Oryctolagus cuniculus: one gene and its partner. The protein of the gene in region 1 interacts with the protein of each later gene in a biochemical or structural test. Links are inferred from orthologs where the notes say so. Each region holds a gene or a part of one and is shown in the gene's direction. Other genes may lie near its edges.

Region 1 (6,028 bases):
TCCCTGTCAATCTTAGTGCTCCAACTATTTTGTAAGTGATGATTGTTAAAAATAAATACAAAACAAATATTAAATAAATAAAACCTACTGGACTTTCCCTGTGCTTTTGCAAACTATTTTAACCTGTTTACATTAAAAAATATACATATGGAATCATACTTGCAAAAAACAAAAAGAAATGTTCCTGCCAAAACCAACAATATAGTTATGATTCAAGTAGTTCACAAACTGGGTATTTGATTTTGGTTTCTGCTTGCTTTGTTTTTGTTTACTTTTGTTCTTGGCCAACCAATATTTTCTCTTTCTCTTTCTATTCCTTTTCATGCATGGTCTCCACTAATTGTCTGAGTTTCTGAAATTCGCCATCTGATACCCCCTTTAATTTAAGTGAGTCAGCCTGGCTTTCTGATGTTCATATACAAAACTTGTAACCAGTACACTGGTTTCCATATTGCCTGTCGCCTCTTCTTCCTGTTCTGACATTTCTAGCCATTGAGCAGAGATTAGATAACAAAGATCCACATCTTAACTCCCAGATAAATATCCCGAGGTCAGCAAACTGGAATTAAGGGGATGAGGAACAGGAGTTGATGCATGAAGGGAGTATTTCAGGAGCACACTGTCAGGAAGAGGTGCCTATGTCAGACACACAGAGAGGACACATGCACGTGTCTCCACGTGCAACACCAAAGGCCCATTACAGTTTCTTCTTTTTCCCCCTAAGATTTATTTATTTATTTGAAAGGTAGCGTTACAGAGAAAGGCGGAGAGACACAGAGCTCAGAGGGCCACGACAGTCTAGGCCAGGAGCCTGAAACTCCATCCAGGTCTCCCACACGGGTGGCAAGGCCCAGGCACTTGAGCCATCTTCTGCTGCTTGCCCAGGTGCATGAGCAGGGAGCTGGCTGGGAAGTGGAGCAGTGAGGCTGGCAGCAGCTTAACTTGCTGTGTCACAACGCTGGCCCCTAGTCCAGTTTGTGCCCCTTTCGGTGAGGGCCTGTGGTAGGCTCCCTCTCTTTTGCTTTCTGCTCTGCTGCCTTTCCTACAACAGAAATCAAGCGACCTGGCACAGAGATTCACCCGAAAAGAGGTAGGAACGGGAGCCATCATTAGCAGGCAGTGACCGGGGCGGACATGACAGCTCTGGCATTAAACACAAGGACACAAATGCTGTCATGGATGGTCTCCCCTTGGCTGCTCTGGCGGCCCATAGAACAGATGTCTTGGGCTCCACCCTAGCAGCAGTTGGCAACACTGGGCCTCAGAGAGAAGTAAAATTTCCAAAGGCCTGGGGCTCCTCCTGCAAAGAAACCCGAGATGTGGGTTGAGTAATGCACTGGTAAGCAGGAATAAACAGTAACTGAGTGAAGAGCTGTGGAGTTCCAGTTGCTAAATAGCTACTACGGAACAGGGAACATGACGGCGGGGTGGGGTGGGGGGTCCCCGATGCAGCAGGGGCTCCCTGAATGCTGGCTGACTGAGCCGAGGTAAGACCTGAGACGGGATGGGCAGCCTGAGAGAAGGCCTGGGGCCCCGTGACGGGGGGCTTTCATTCGGCAGGGCTCAGCCAACAGAAGCCCCTAGAGAGGGCCGACCCTCATCTGCGAGCGGCTGCAAGGCGCTCTGACATTCAGTCGCTGTTATTTCGGAGCCAGGGTCTACACGAAGGGACCGCCTGGGTTGCCGTCCCCAACCAGACACGGAGGCAAACCCGGAGGGGGCGGGTAGGCGTCCGTGGGCTCCGCGGGGGCTCCTCTTCTTTTTAGGCTTTCGCGACCCAAACGCCCTCCTGGAGGGACCCCATGTTTCAGGGGCAGCTTGGAGGCGTTTAGTCCTCTCACTGTCGAGCCCCCGACAGGGAGACGTCGCCGCCAGCAGCCCGAGGCGACCGCTCGCGAGGAGCAGCGTCGCCCAGCGGGCACAGGCACCGGGTGTTCTCCGGGCCCCCCCAACCCCTTCGCGGCTCCAGGCGCCCGCCAGCGGCCGCCTCCCGCAGCGGCACGGGGAACTCAGGCGGCGCTGGTGGCCGGGGCCGCCCGAGCGGGCTCCCCGATTGGCTGATGGGGCGGCGGGAGGAGGGGCAGGGGCGCCGCGATTGGCCGGGTCCCGAGCCGGAGGGGGCGGAGCCGCTATATCAGGGGAGCGCCTGTCGCGGCGCAGGCAGTTGGCTGCTGGAGTGCGGCGTCGCCGCGGAGTGCCCGGGGGCCGGCAGGGCGGGCGGGCTGGCGGGCGAGGGGGTGGCGGGGACGGAGCTGCGGCCGCGGGCGTCTGTCTGCAGCCCTCGCCGAGCCCGGGGCTGGGTTCGAGCTTTGGCGAGGCGGTAGCCCCGCGTACACCAAAGAGGAGGTGGCTGAGGTGGCCGTGGCGGCAGCGGCGGCCCCAGCCATGCTGTGCTATGTGACGAGGCCGGACGCGGTGCTGATGGAGGTGGAGGTGGAGGCGAAAGCCAACGGCGAGGACTGCCTCAATCAGGTGAGAGCGAGCACCCAGGTCCGGGCCCACGTCGGTCTCCAGAGGCCGACGGGCCTCGAAGGCGGCCGGGCGCCTCAGGGAGCGCGCCCCAGGCAGGCACCGGGCCCCGCACCCCGATCCCGCTGCGGGCGTGCGGCGCGCGACCCCCTCCCGGGCGCGCTGGCGGGGTGCGGAGGATGCGCGCTGCGGGGGCCCCTGGCGCGGGGGCGCGGGCAGAGCCCGGAGCGCAGCCCAGCCCCCCCGCAAGCCGGCACTTTGCCAGAGCCAGGCGGCCCAGCACACTTGCCTCAGGTGTGTGTGCGTGACGCCGCCGGTGGGGTCCCTGCAGTGCCACCCACGTCCCAAAAAGGAGTGAGTGGACGCGGTCTCGGGCCCAGGGTGCCTTGGCAGGCAAGCTTGGCCCTTGTCCCGTGCCGCGTTTCCAGCGGAGCACTCACCTGCATCTTCGGATTTGCGGGCGGGGGCAGAGGTACTGTAGTTGTGGGTGCACCTGCTTGGCTGCCTTGAAGCCCGCGTTTCCTTCCAGAGCGAAGGGGGAACCGAGCTGGTTCGGCAGGCAGCAGGTCTGATCCCAGGGGACGCTGTGCTCCCACGCCGTGTAGACAGGAGAGGTTTGGAGAACCTCGTGTGACGCACAGCTGACACTTGTGGCGGGTCTCGCGTGCGTGCGTGCGTGTGTGTGTGTGTTTGGAGTCCAGGTGGTTAACACTACCCAGATAATAGCTGTCGGAGCAGCTCTGTGGATTGTGCTGGTACCGGGCATCGTAGTGACTGGAGTCAGAAGGAAGAGACCCTGAAGATGCCCCTGCTCTTGAGCACTGCTCTTTCTGGGCTGCTGTGGGCATGCCCTAGATATTGAGGGAGGGAGGGACAGGTCTCCGTCCTGGAGCCAGCGGTTAGCGTCGCAGCACCGGTGGGTTTTGGCAGAACTGTAGCAGTCTTCAGCTCCAGAGAGCCCCGGGTTCCTTTGACCCCATGTCCCGTTTGCTCATCCGTGCCGCCTTTGTTTTGACTTCAGGTGTGCAGGCGACTGGGAATCATAGAAGTTGACTATTTTGGACTGCAGTTTACCGGTAGCAAAGGTGAAAGTTTATGGCTAAACCTGAGAAACCGGATCTCCCAGCAGATGGACGGGCTGGCCCCTTACCGGCTTAAACTCAGAGTCAAGTTCTTCGTGGAGCCTCATCTCATCTTACAGGAGCAGACGAGGTAAAGCGGCACTCAGATAGACCCTTGTCAGATGCACCTTAGATTCTGTTTAGGGGGCGCCGGAGCAGCCTCCCCGGGGTGTTCACAGGCAAATTTGGTGCGGTGAATGCCTTCCTTACCCACGTTCTGCAGGGCACAGCCCTTTGGTTGAAGAGGGAGCCACATAGTTGGCCTGGGCGCATTTTGCAGCTCCTGTTTTTATAAACTTAATGGGAGAGCTGGGTAGAATTCCCACAAACCCTTGAGATTGTTGTCACATGGGGGAAAAAAAAAGAACCAGCCAGAGAAACACCAAACTGCCTACTTCCTGACAGCAGCATCCAATGGCCGATAGTAACCTCTGCCTCGGCAGTGTTACTGTAGGTCACTGTGGACGTTCTAACAGAAAGCAGGAAACAGTTCCTCTTGGGTTACTTAAACTTGGTCAGCTTCGGCCAGTGTCAGATTACAGTGTGTAGCAGAGAACTCTGTCAGGCTTTGTGCAGAATTTTTGAAGTTTTTAGTTTCTTGAAAACTTAATAAGAGCACTCTTTTAAGGCTACTGTAACTGAATCCTAACCCACAAATACATTGCACACGATTGGGGAGTCTCTCTCTGCCTTGTGAAAATCCACCACTAGTGGTAGACAACTGAAGCAAATGATCTTTTTTAAACAAAAATGTGTTCTCTCTGGCACTGACTTAGTACTTTTCTCAAGGGTGAGTGAAACTAGGAAAGTTATGTTTAATATTTATGGCTAAAATGCAAGACTTCAGTCTTACTAAAGCAGTCAAAAAGAAAAAAAACGAAAATGGCTACTTTTAAAAACAGCAAACTTGGATCTAAGCTGTAATGTTTTTCATAATCCTTTGCCTTGGAAATCTGCCATGCATGTGAAAAATGTGATTCTGAAAATTTTGAATAATGATGAGTGAGCAATATTCTTTAAAGATTTTTTTTTGGTTTGTTTATCAGAGAGCTGATAGAAATACATTTTGAAATAGTATTTATTTGAGTTTGAAATTTCCACTTTGTTTTTTTATAAAACTCAAAATGTTGAGGAAAATGTTTTATTTCTGAAGGAAGCAGTTATACTGAATTTTTAGTGCTCTTGAAAATATCTTGCAAAATATTCAAGTGACAGCATGCTTAAGGAAGTTATAGCTGTCTATGTTAATCAAAATGGGCTTTTTTTCTTTAAACTAATTTTTGAAAGCTTCTGCTTTGCACTTCACTGCCGTAACTCACAGTAGAATAAAAGACAAAGTATATATAACAAAGCATAGTGGAATTTTCATTACATAGTCTTATGATTTTTCAGTTATTTCGGGCTACCAGATACAACCCAATTTAAATGTTTTAAATCTGCACACATTTAGAGGGCCAAATACTTCATTTAAACAATGAAAGTGATGGTAGAATAATATATTTGTAGTGTGAATGCATTCAGACTTTGTAGCTAATGACTAGATGATCACTACCTGTGTTTTCCTGTAATTGGGTTAATAACTTGTGTCAAATCCATTTTATTCATGCCGGAAATGGAGGCATTTTATAAATTAGAACCTGAACAAATTTATTATCTTGGTTTTTCCTTTCTTGACTCAATTGACTTTAACCCTTGAGATTCGTGGCTAACAGCACCCCTACATACCTACTTCAGCCAGATAATCTTACCTGATTTTTGAAAGCAGTTTGATTGTAGGCTAGTCCAAACTTTTGACTGGCTTATGATAGCATTGGTAAATTCTATTTGTTTTCATGGGGTTGGCTGAAATATCAGACTTAGTGGGAAAATGCCACCTACGGTTTATAAAGCATTCTGCTTCAGTAACTAGATAAAGTGTTATTAGCATTTGTACCTGTAAATGAGTACATCCGGATTTGAATGCGTCCAGTTTACACTTAACATTGTTTTTATGTGCATAATACTATCAAACAACATAGCAAAATAAAGCTGGCTGACGAACTTTTGGATGTCTGATGATCTGTGAATATACAGTAGATCTGTTTATGTAGTGAGTAAGCCCCGCTTTGACAATCTGGTTATAAGAGGTGATTTTCTACTAAGTCAAGCCATGAGGGTGCATTTAGTGTACTGCAAGTGTCTGGACCTCTCATTAAGTGGTGCTGAAGTGTCCTGGCAGAGTCATCTTCTGTGGACAATTAAAGCAGCCTGCTCGTGGTGGAGCTGGCCTGTGAGCAGTTAACGTACTAGTTCGCGTCAATTAGAGGGCCCACTGGGAAGAGTGACGGCCAGGAAGGCCTGTTTGGATGCGAGAGGTCTGAGGACAGGGGAAAGCCCTCTTTTCATTTCAGTTGAAAACCCAGGAAAAAAAGATTCCTCCTAGCAATAGCGTATTATTA
Region 2 (6,384 bases), on another chromosome or scaffold:
TTCATTGATGACTACATCTCTACCCAGGAGCAGGTATTACTGTAGGTGTGCGAGTGAGGCAGACCCTGTACTTGAGAACCCAGGGAAGAGTGGCAGGAGGAGACTCTGCGCCTCACTTCCTTTCTCTATTCCCAGGTCGTGGATTACTTGACTCAGTACTCGGGGATAAAGCCGGGAGACCTTGACGCCAAGATATCCTCCAAGCACCTCACAACCCTCAAGTCCACGTACTTGAAGCTTCGGTTTCTCATTGACATTGGCGTCAAGTTCGTGGGCCATGGCCTGCAGAAGGACTTCAGGGTCATCAACCTCATGGTTCGGGCAGGGACTCTTAGGAATCACCTTTGAGGGTGGGCCCCCAGGGTATACATTGTGCTTTTGGAGAATGGGAAATGAATCTTTAACTCTCCCACTGTTTTATTTCTGCCAGGTGCCCAAGGACCAAGTACTTGACACTGTGTACCTGTTCCACATGCCCCGAAAACGAATGATTTCCCTGCGATTCCTTGCATGGTACTTTCTGGGTGAGTTGCTCCATCTTGTAGACAGCGGAGGTGCTCATTAGAAATAGGAAAACTGCTGGAGGTCAAAGGGGAGTAGGGACAGCCCTGAATTAGCGATGAGATTGACCAAGGGATTTTTACAATTAGCGTCAGTATCTCCTCTACACTAGGGAAGGTGTTTGACTCTTTGCCTTATAGGTAATTTATTGTTTTCTTTGAGTCATAGGGTGGGAGTCGGGGGGATATGTCGCTACCTCCCTTTGCCTGGTCCCCAACTCTTCTGCCTTTACTCGCCCTAGACCTGAAGATTCAAGGGGAGACCCATGACAGTATTGAGGATGCCCGCACAGCTCTTCAGCTCTATCGAAAGTATCTGGAGCTAAGCAAGAACGGCACTGAGCCTGAATCCTTCCACAAGGTGCTCAAGGGCCTTTATGAGAAGGGCCGGAAGATGGACTGGAAGGTGCCTGAGCCAGAGGGCCAGACAAGTCCCAAGAGTAAGGCCTGGAATGGGAACAGGGAGACTGGCTCGGACAGGTTTTGATTGCATACATGGAGGTTATACCCACCACCACAACGATGTTGATGAGTGATGATAACAAGACCAATCTTACCCTATTTTTTGTAAAGTGATTAGCAATTACAATTGCACTTAATCCTCCTAACAGGCAGGGAAATTGTTTTTATTATTGAAACCCTGCATCAGTCCTATAATCTCCTCTTGCTGAATTCTGAAATGTTTGGGGAAGGTCCACGCCCGTTTTCTCGTCCATTTTCTTCACGAGAGGCGTCCAGGTGTTCTCTGCACTCGCCTAACAGTCGTGCTCTCGGTTTTGTCTCTGACAGACGCAGCGGTCTTCTCCTCAGTGCTGGCACTCTGACCTGCCCTCTCCCTTCAGTGCTCTGTAGCCCCAGAACTGGGAGATGGCTTCCCAAGTGGGTCCACTTCCAGAACGGGACCTGCTCAGTCTCCACAGATGGTGCTATTAATAGAACTGGAACTCAGAAAAATCGATGCAAAGGTTCTAGGAGCCGGATTCCTTCTTCATCCTTTGCAAAACAGCAGGCCAGATACAAAGTCTAGACCCAGACGGAAAGTAATTGGCATTCTTAATAAATACCCGGGGTGATTAGTATCTAGGCGGAGAAGGTTCTGGGACCAACACTCTCAGCTCCTAGCTGGCTGGGGACTGAAGTACTGGACAGTGACAAGAGGATATACTTAGTAGCTCAAGATTTAGCTCAAGTCTTCAATTGCTCAGGGGATGCCTGGAGGGATCATCATGTTGCAGCTTGGGGAATCAAGAAAACCACAGTTGCCAATACCATTGCCAAAAGGGACTTTGTTTCCTGGACAAAGCTTGGCTGCTGGCTCCATTCCTGCTGACAGCTGAGAAGCATCTGTCTTCCATCTTCTTTCCCGTCTCAAGTTTTGTTATTTTTTAAAAATTTATTTTAAGCCGCATGTTTTATAAAATAAAAACGAAAATATTGTCTAATCACCTGTCTCATTATAGAACTGCTTTTGTAGGGGTTCTGTGAAGCTCTATTATTATTTTTTGGTTTCTTATTAACACTCAGAAAACTAAAGTTGTGCTCAAATCCACATCCGGGAATGAAGGTAAAGCTTCGGGGTCCAAAGTTATGGATACGGGAGAAGTGAAATTACTCCCTTCCTGGACAACACTAGGTGTTTGCTGTAGATGCCCAGTACCCTAGGGTCAGACTGCTGTGAAGACACGTGGTATGGTTTGCGTAAGCCGCAAAACTACAAGTCCCAGGGCATCTGCTGACGCCAGCAGCTGCCGAAAGGGTCAGCTGGTGCTGCAGTGCGTTCTGGGAGATGTAGTTTCGAGGCGAGGTCGTCTGGCTGGCTAGCCGCAGCCCGGGGTTCTGAAGGCCCTAGCCCACCTAGAGCGATGCATCGCTCGCGCCTCACTGCTCCCGTGTAACACGCCGGGCTCCGTCCGCGCCTGGCGCCGCTCCTGTTCTGCTACCCGCCGGCGGCCAGTCACGTGGAGCCCTTCGCCACGCAAGTCTGGGTCCTTCTGCAAGCCACCGGGGTCCTCGCCACTTCAGTGCCGCTCCCACGTTGCCTGTTCGCGCGAGAGTTTGCAGGGGCGGGTTTAGGGTCGCTGTGTGGTGGGGGCTCGCCCGGCCACACAACCCGAGCCCCGCTTAGGCGCCCAGTTAGGGTGCAGGGAGCTGGGTCAGGCGGCTGCCTGGGCACCCCGTTTCTAGAAAGCACCGACGCGCTCTGGAGGATCACGGACAGCCCCGCTCCCCCCTCAGCCAGGTGCGAGGCTCGGGAGCCACCGAGGCCAAAGTGAGAGTCCGGCGATTTTGCAGCGCCTGGGCCACGGCGGCGGCCCTGGGAGCAGAGGTGGGACGCGTGCGGCGCTAAGGGCTGGGGACGGGCTGCAGCGAAAGCAATGGGGGAGCCCTCAGAAAGGGGGCTGGTCCACACGTGCAGTCCCTTGGAGGCTGGCGGAGGGCATGCGGGCATCTTCTGTGCAGGATCCTGTCAGGCCCTGGTTGTTGAGCGCTCTGCTCGCCGGCCGCCTGGCCTGACCGCAGGCCCCTCGCACGGTCACCGGCCTCCGTCCCGTAGCTGCCACATAGCCCTGTGAACCCTTGGCCGCTAATGGTAACGTACCAACACTTAGGGACTCACCTGCCCCTGAGCCCCAAGCCCTGCGCTCCGGAGGGGTCAGCCCTCAAGCGCCGGCGCAGAGGAGCTTCTTTGTGTCCCAGCCATTTCCTGGAAAGCAGTCAGAATGGCAGGAGGCTCTGGAAGGCCTTGGGATGGAGAGGTGGAGTGTGGGGGGTGCAGGGGAAGTAGAGTCGGTTCCTTACTCTGTTTTGTTTTTTTTTTTTTTCCCCCACCCAAATTCAGGTGGAGCAACCCCATTACGTTAAAGATGAAAGGCTGGGGTTGGCTGGCCCTGCTTCTTGGGGCCCTGCTGGGAACTGCCTGGGCTCGGAGGAGCCAGGATCTACACTGTGGAGGTAAAGAAAAGCACACAGAACATAAGAAGGGGGAGGGAGTGGACTCTGGGCAGGGCTCGAGACCCAAGGCCTGGGGGGAAATGAATGCGAATCCCTCTTACCCAGCTTGCAGGGCTCTGGTGGATGAACTCGAGTGGGAGATTGCCCAGGTGGACCCCAAGAAGACCATTCAGATGGGATCTTTCCGGATCAATCCAGACGGCAGCCAGTCGGTGGTGGAGGTAACTGTTAGTTCCCCCGGAGAGTTCACTCTGGCTTTGAATGAGAACGCAGCTCATTAAGACGGACTTTGGTTTTACAGAAATGAAGACTAACTCAGAGAGGTCCCTGGAAGATTGGGCTCTGTCTCATGAGGTTATCCCTTGTGTGCCTTCTTTCTGGCTCCAACCCCTAAATACTCTGTTTCTGTACAGAACTTGTCACTGGGAGCCCTGATCAGCCCTCTTCTTTATACATCTTTAATTCGTGTAACTCCTGTTTCCTCCCTAGCACTGGGATACATACAGACTTTCATTCAAAAAGAATAAAAGGTCTTATGCTTGTAATTAGGAAATTGATTTCAGCTGAAAATGTAACACACACAAAGCTGTACATAGTGAGCAATATGTAAACATTAAGGTTATGAAGCTTTTGGGTTTTTTTATGTACCTTTTTTTTAAAAAAAGATTTATTTACTCATTATTTGAAAGGCAGAGTTACAGAGAGACAGAGGCAGAGAAAGACAGAGAGGTGTCTTCCATCCGCTGGTTCACTCCCCAGTTGGTTGCAACAGCCAGAGCTGTGCCAATCCAAAGCCAGGAGCTTCCTCTGGGTCTCCCACGCAGGTGCAGGGGCCCAAGCACTTGAACCATCTTCTACTGTTTGCTCAGGCCACAGCAGAGAGCTGGATCAGAAGTGGACCAGCCAGGATTTGAACCAGCTCCCATATGGGATGCCAGCCCTGCAGGCGGCGGCTTCACATGCTATACCACACTGCTGGCCCCTGTGAAATTTTTTTTTTTTTTTTTGACAGGCAGAGTTAGAGAGGGACAAAGGTTTTCCTTCCGTTGGTTCACCCCCGAAATGGCTGCTACGGCTGGGGCACTGCGCTGATCTGAAGCCAGGAGCCAGGTGCTTCCTCCTGGTCTCCCATGCGGGTGCAGAGCCCAAGCACTTGGGCCGTTCTCCACTGCCTTCCCTGGCCACAGCAGAGAGCTGGACTGGAAGAGGAGCAACCGGGACAGAACCGGCACCCCAACCGGGACTAGAACCCCGGGTGCCGACGCCGCAGGCGGAGGATTAGCCTAGTGAGCCGCAGCACCGGCCGAATTGTTTTAATAGTTGTCATCCTCAAAGCCTGTTTTGCGTCTCTATTGCTGTCCTACTGAAAACAAATGTTGGTTTCATTCTAATACTAAAAAAAAATAAATAAATTATCAAGGAGTGATAAGAGGTGCTGAAGGTTGGGTTGGTACCCATGGTCAAAAATTTAATCAATCACACATAGATAATGAAGACTCCATAAAAAAAAACAAAAAGGACAGGGTTCAGAGAGCTTCTGGGTGGCTGGAGGATGGTGCTCAGGGCATGGAAGCTCTGTGCCTCTCTTCATCTGAAGCCTTTGTAATATTCTTTATAATAAGTTGGTAAACATGAGTATTGATCACCTACAGTCATAAGAATGAATTCAAAGGAAAAGAACACCATTGATCAGAGTTGATAATTTGGAGTTAATGCTACATGTCTTATTTGTGCCATGCAGTAAAGATAAAACCATATATTCAAAAGTACTTTGAAACTATACAAATATAGCCATACTGTGTTAGTTAGGGAAGGATTTTTAGAATAAGTTAGTTGAGCCAGAGTTGGAAGGAAGAGTAAGGATATAAATTACTAACGCGCAGACATAGGAGATAGTGACCGAAGGCTGAGGACTTTTCCAGGTGCCTTACGCCCGCTCCGAGGCCCACCTCACAGAGCTGCTTGAGGAAGTGTGTGACCGCATGAAGGAGTATGGGGAACAGATCGATCCTTCCACCCACCGCAAGAACTACGTGCGCGTGGTGGGCCGCAACGGAGAATCCAGCGAACTGGACCTGCAGGGCATCCGCATCGACTCGGATATCAGCGGCACCCTCAAGTTTGCGGTGAGCTCTGGCGCGGGGGTAACTCGTTCTTGGAAATCGGGAGGGCTGTTGGACGGCTCAAGTAGAAAGTTGGGTTAATGTCCTTGTCCTCGTCTCTGGAGGTAGAGGCAGGAGGCCTCTTCCTGCTGCCCTGTATCACTCGTCTCTCCTTTGGGTTGGCAGTGTGAGAGCATCGTGGAAGAATATGAGGATGAACTCATTGAATTCTTTTCCCGAGAGGCTGACAATGTTAAAGACAAACTTTGTAGTAAGCGAACAGGTAAGCTACTACCCATTTATCTCATGTTCTCACCGCCCTATGGAACCTAGCTACCTTCTCTTGGGAAACCTGATAATAGCCCAAGAGTTGGTTTCCATTTCCTTTGCCCCTTGGCTTAGGGACTAGGAGTGTTCCTCTCCATTCTCTGTCTGCTTTCAGATTGGAGATAGAAGCAGGGTGCGGGGCGGGGGTGGTGCAGAGGGGCATGTTTTGTCATTTCTAAGCATATGCTCTCAAGCATGGTGGTTGGTGTGTGCGTCAGTTTGGCTTACCGTATTTCCTTGTTAGTGGTGTGTGTCAGAATGAAAGTGGCGTTTCCCTTCCAATCGTTATGTACTGTTTGCAGATCTGTGTGACCATGCCCTGCACATATCTCACGATGAGCTATGAACCATTGGAGCAGCCCAGACTGACTTGATGGATCACCCCCAGGAGGGGAAGACGGTGGCATTGCCTTTTATATTATGTTTTTACCGAAATGAACTGA

What was found.
Region 2: the proteins of MYLIP (region 1) and CNPY2 form a complex in vitro, tested with the Homo sapiens proteins (2 studies listed by BioGRID). The link is inferred for Oryctolagus cuniculus from reciprocal best matches to the Homo sapiens genes MYLIP and CNPY2.

Annotation. Positions count from the first base shown.
Region 1 is NC_091436.1:143,408,170-143,414,197, forward strand, and holds the start of MYLIP (E3 ubiquitin-protein ligase MYLIP), read left to right. Parts: upstream 1-2,163; 5' UTR 2,164-2,385; coding exon 2,386-2,472; intron 2,473-3,490; coding exon 3,491-3,681; intron 3,682-6,028. UniProt on the Homo sapiens protein: E3 ubiquitin-protein ligase that mediates ubiquitination and subsequent proteasomal degradation of myosin regulatory light chain (MRLC), LDLR, VLDLR and LRP8. Activity depends on E2 enzymes of the UBE2D family.
Region 2 is NC_091442.1:59,130,087-59,136,470, reverse strand, and holds the start of CNPY2 (protein canopy homolog 2), read left to right. Parts: upstream 1-2,596; 5' UTR 2,597-2,799; exon of another isoform or gene 2,800-2,886; intron 2,887-3,177; exon of another isoform or gene 3,178-3,399; 5' UTR 3,400-3,424; coding exon 3,425-3,512; intron 3,513-3,617; coding exon 3,618-3,733; intron 3,734-5,434; coding exon 5,435-5,638; intron 5,639-5,800; coding exon 5,801-5,897; intron 5,898-6,243; coding exon 6,244-6,287; 3' UTR 6,288-6,384. Other genes in the region: PAN2-PAN3 deadenylation complex catalytic subunit PAN2, read left to right, coding at 1-33, 136-315, 431-524, 803-1,000, 1,350-1,384. UniProt on the Homo sapiens protein: Positive regulator of neurite outgrowth by stabilizing myosin regulatory light chain (MRLC). It prevents MIR-mediated MRLC ubiquitination and its subsequent proteasomal degradation.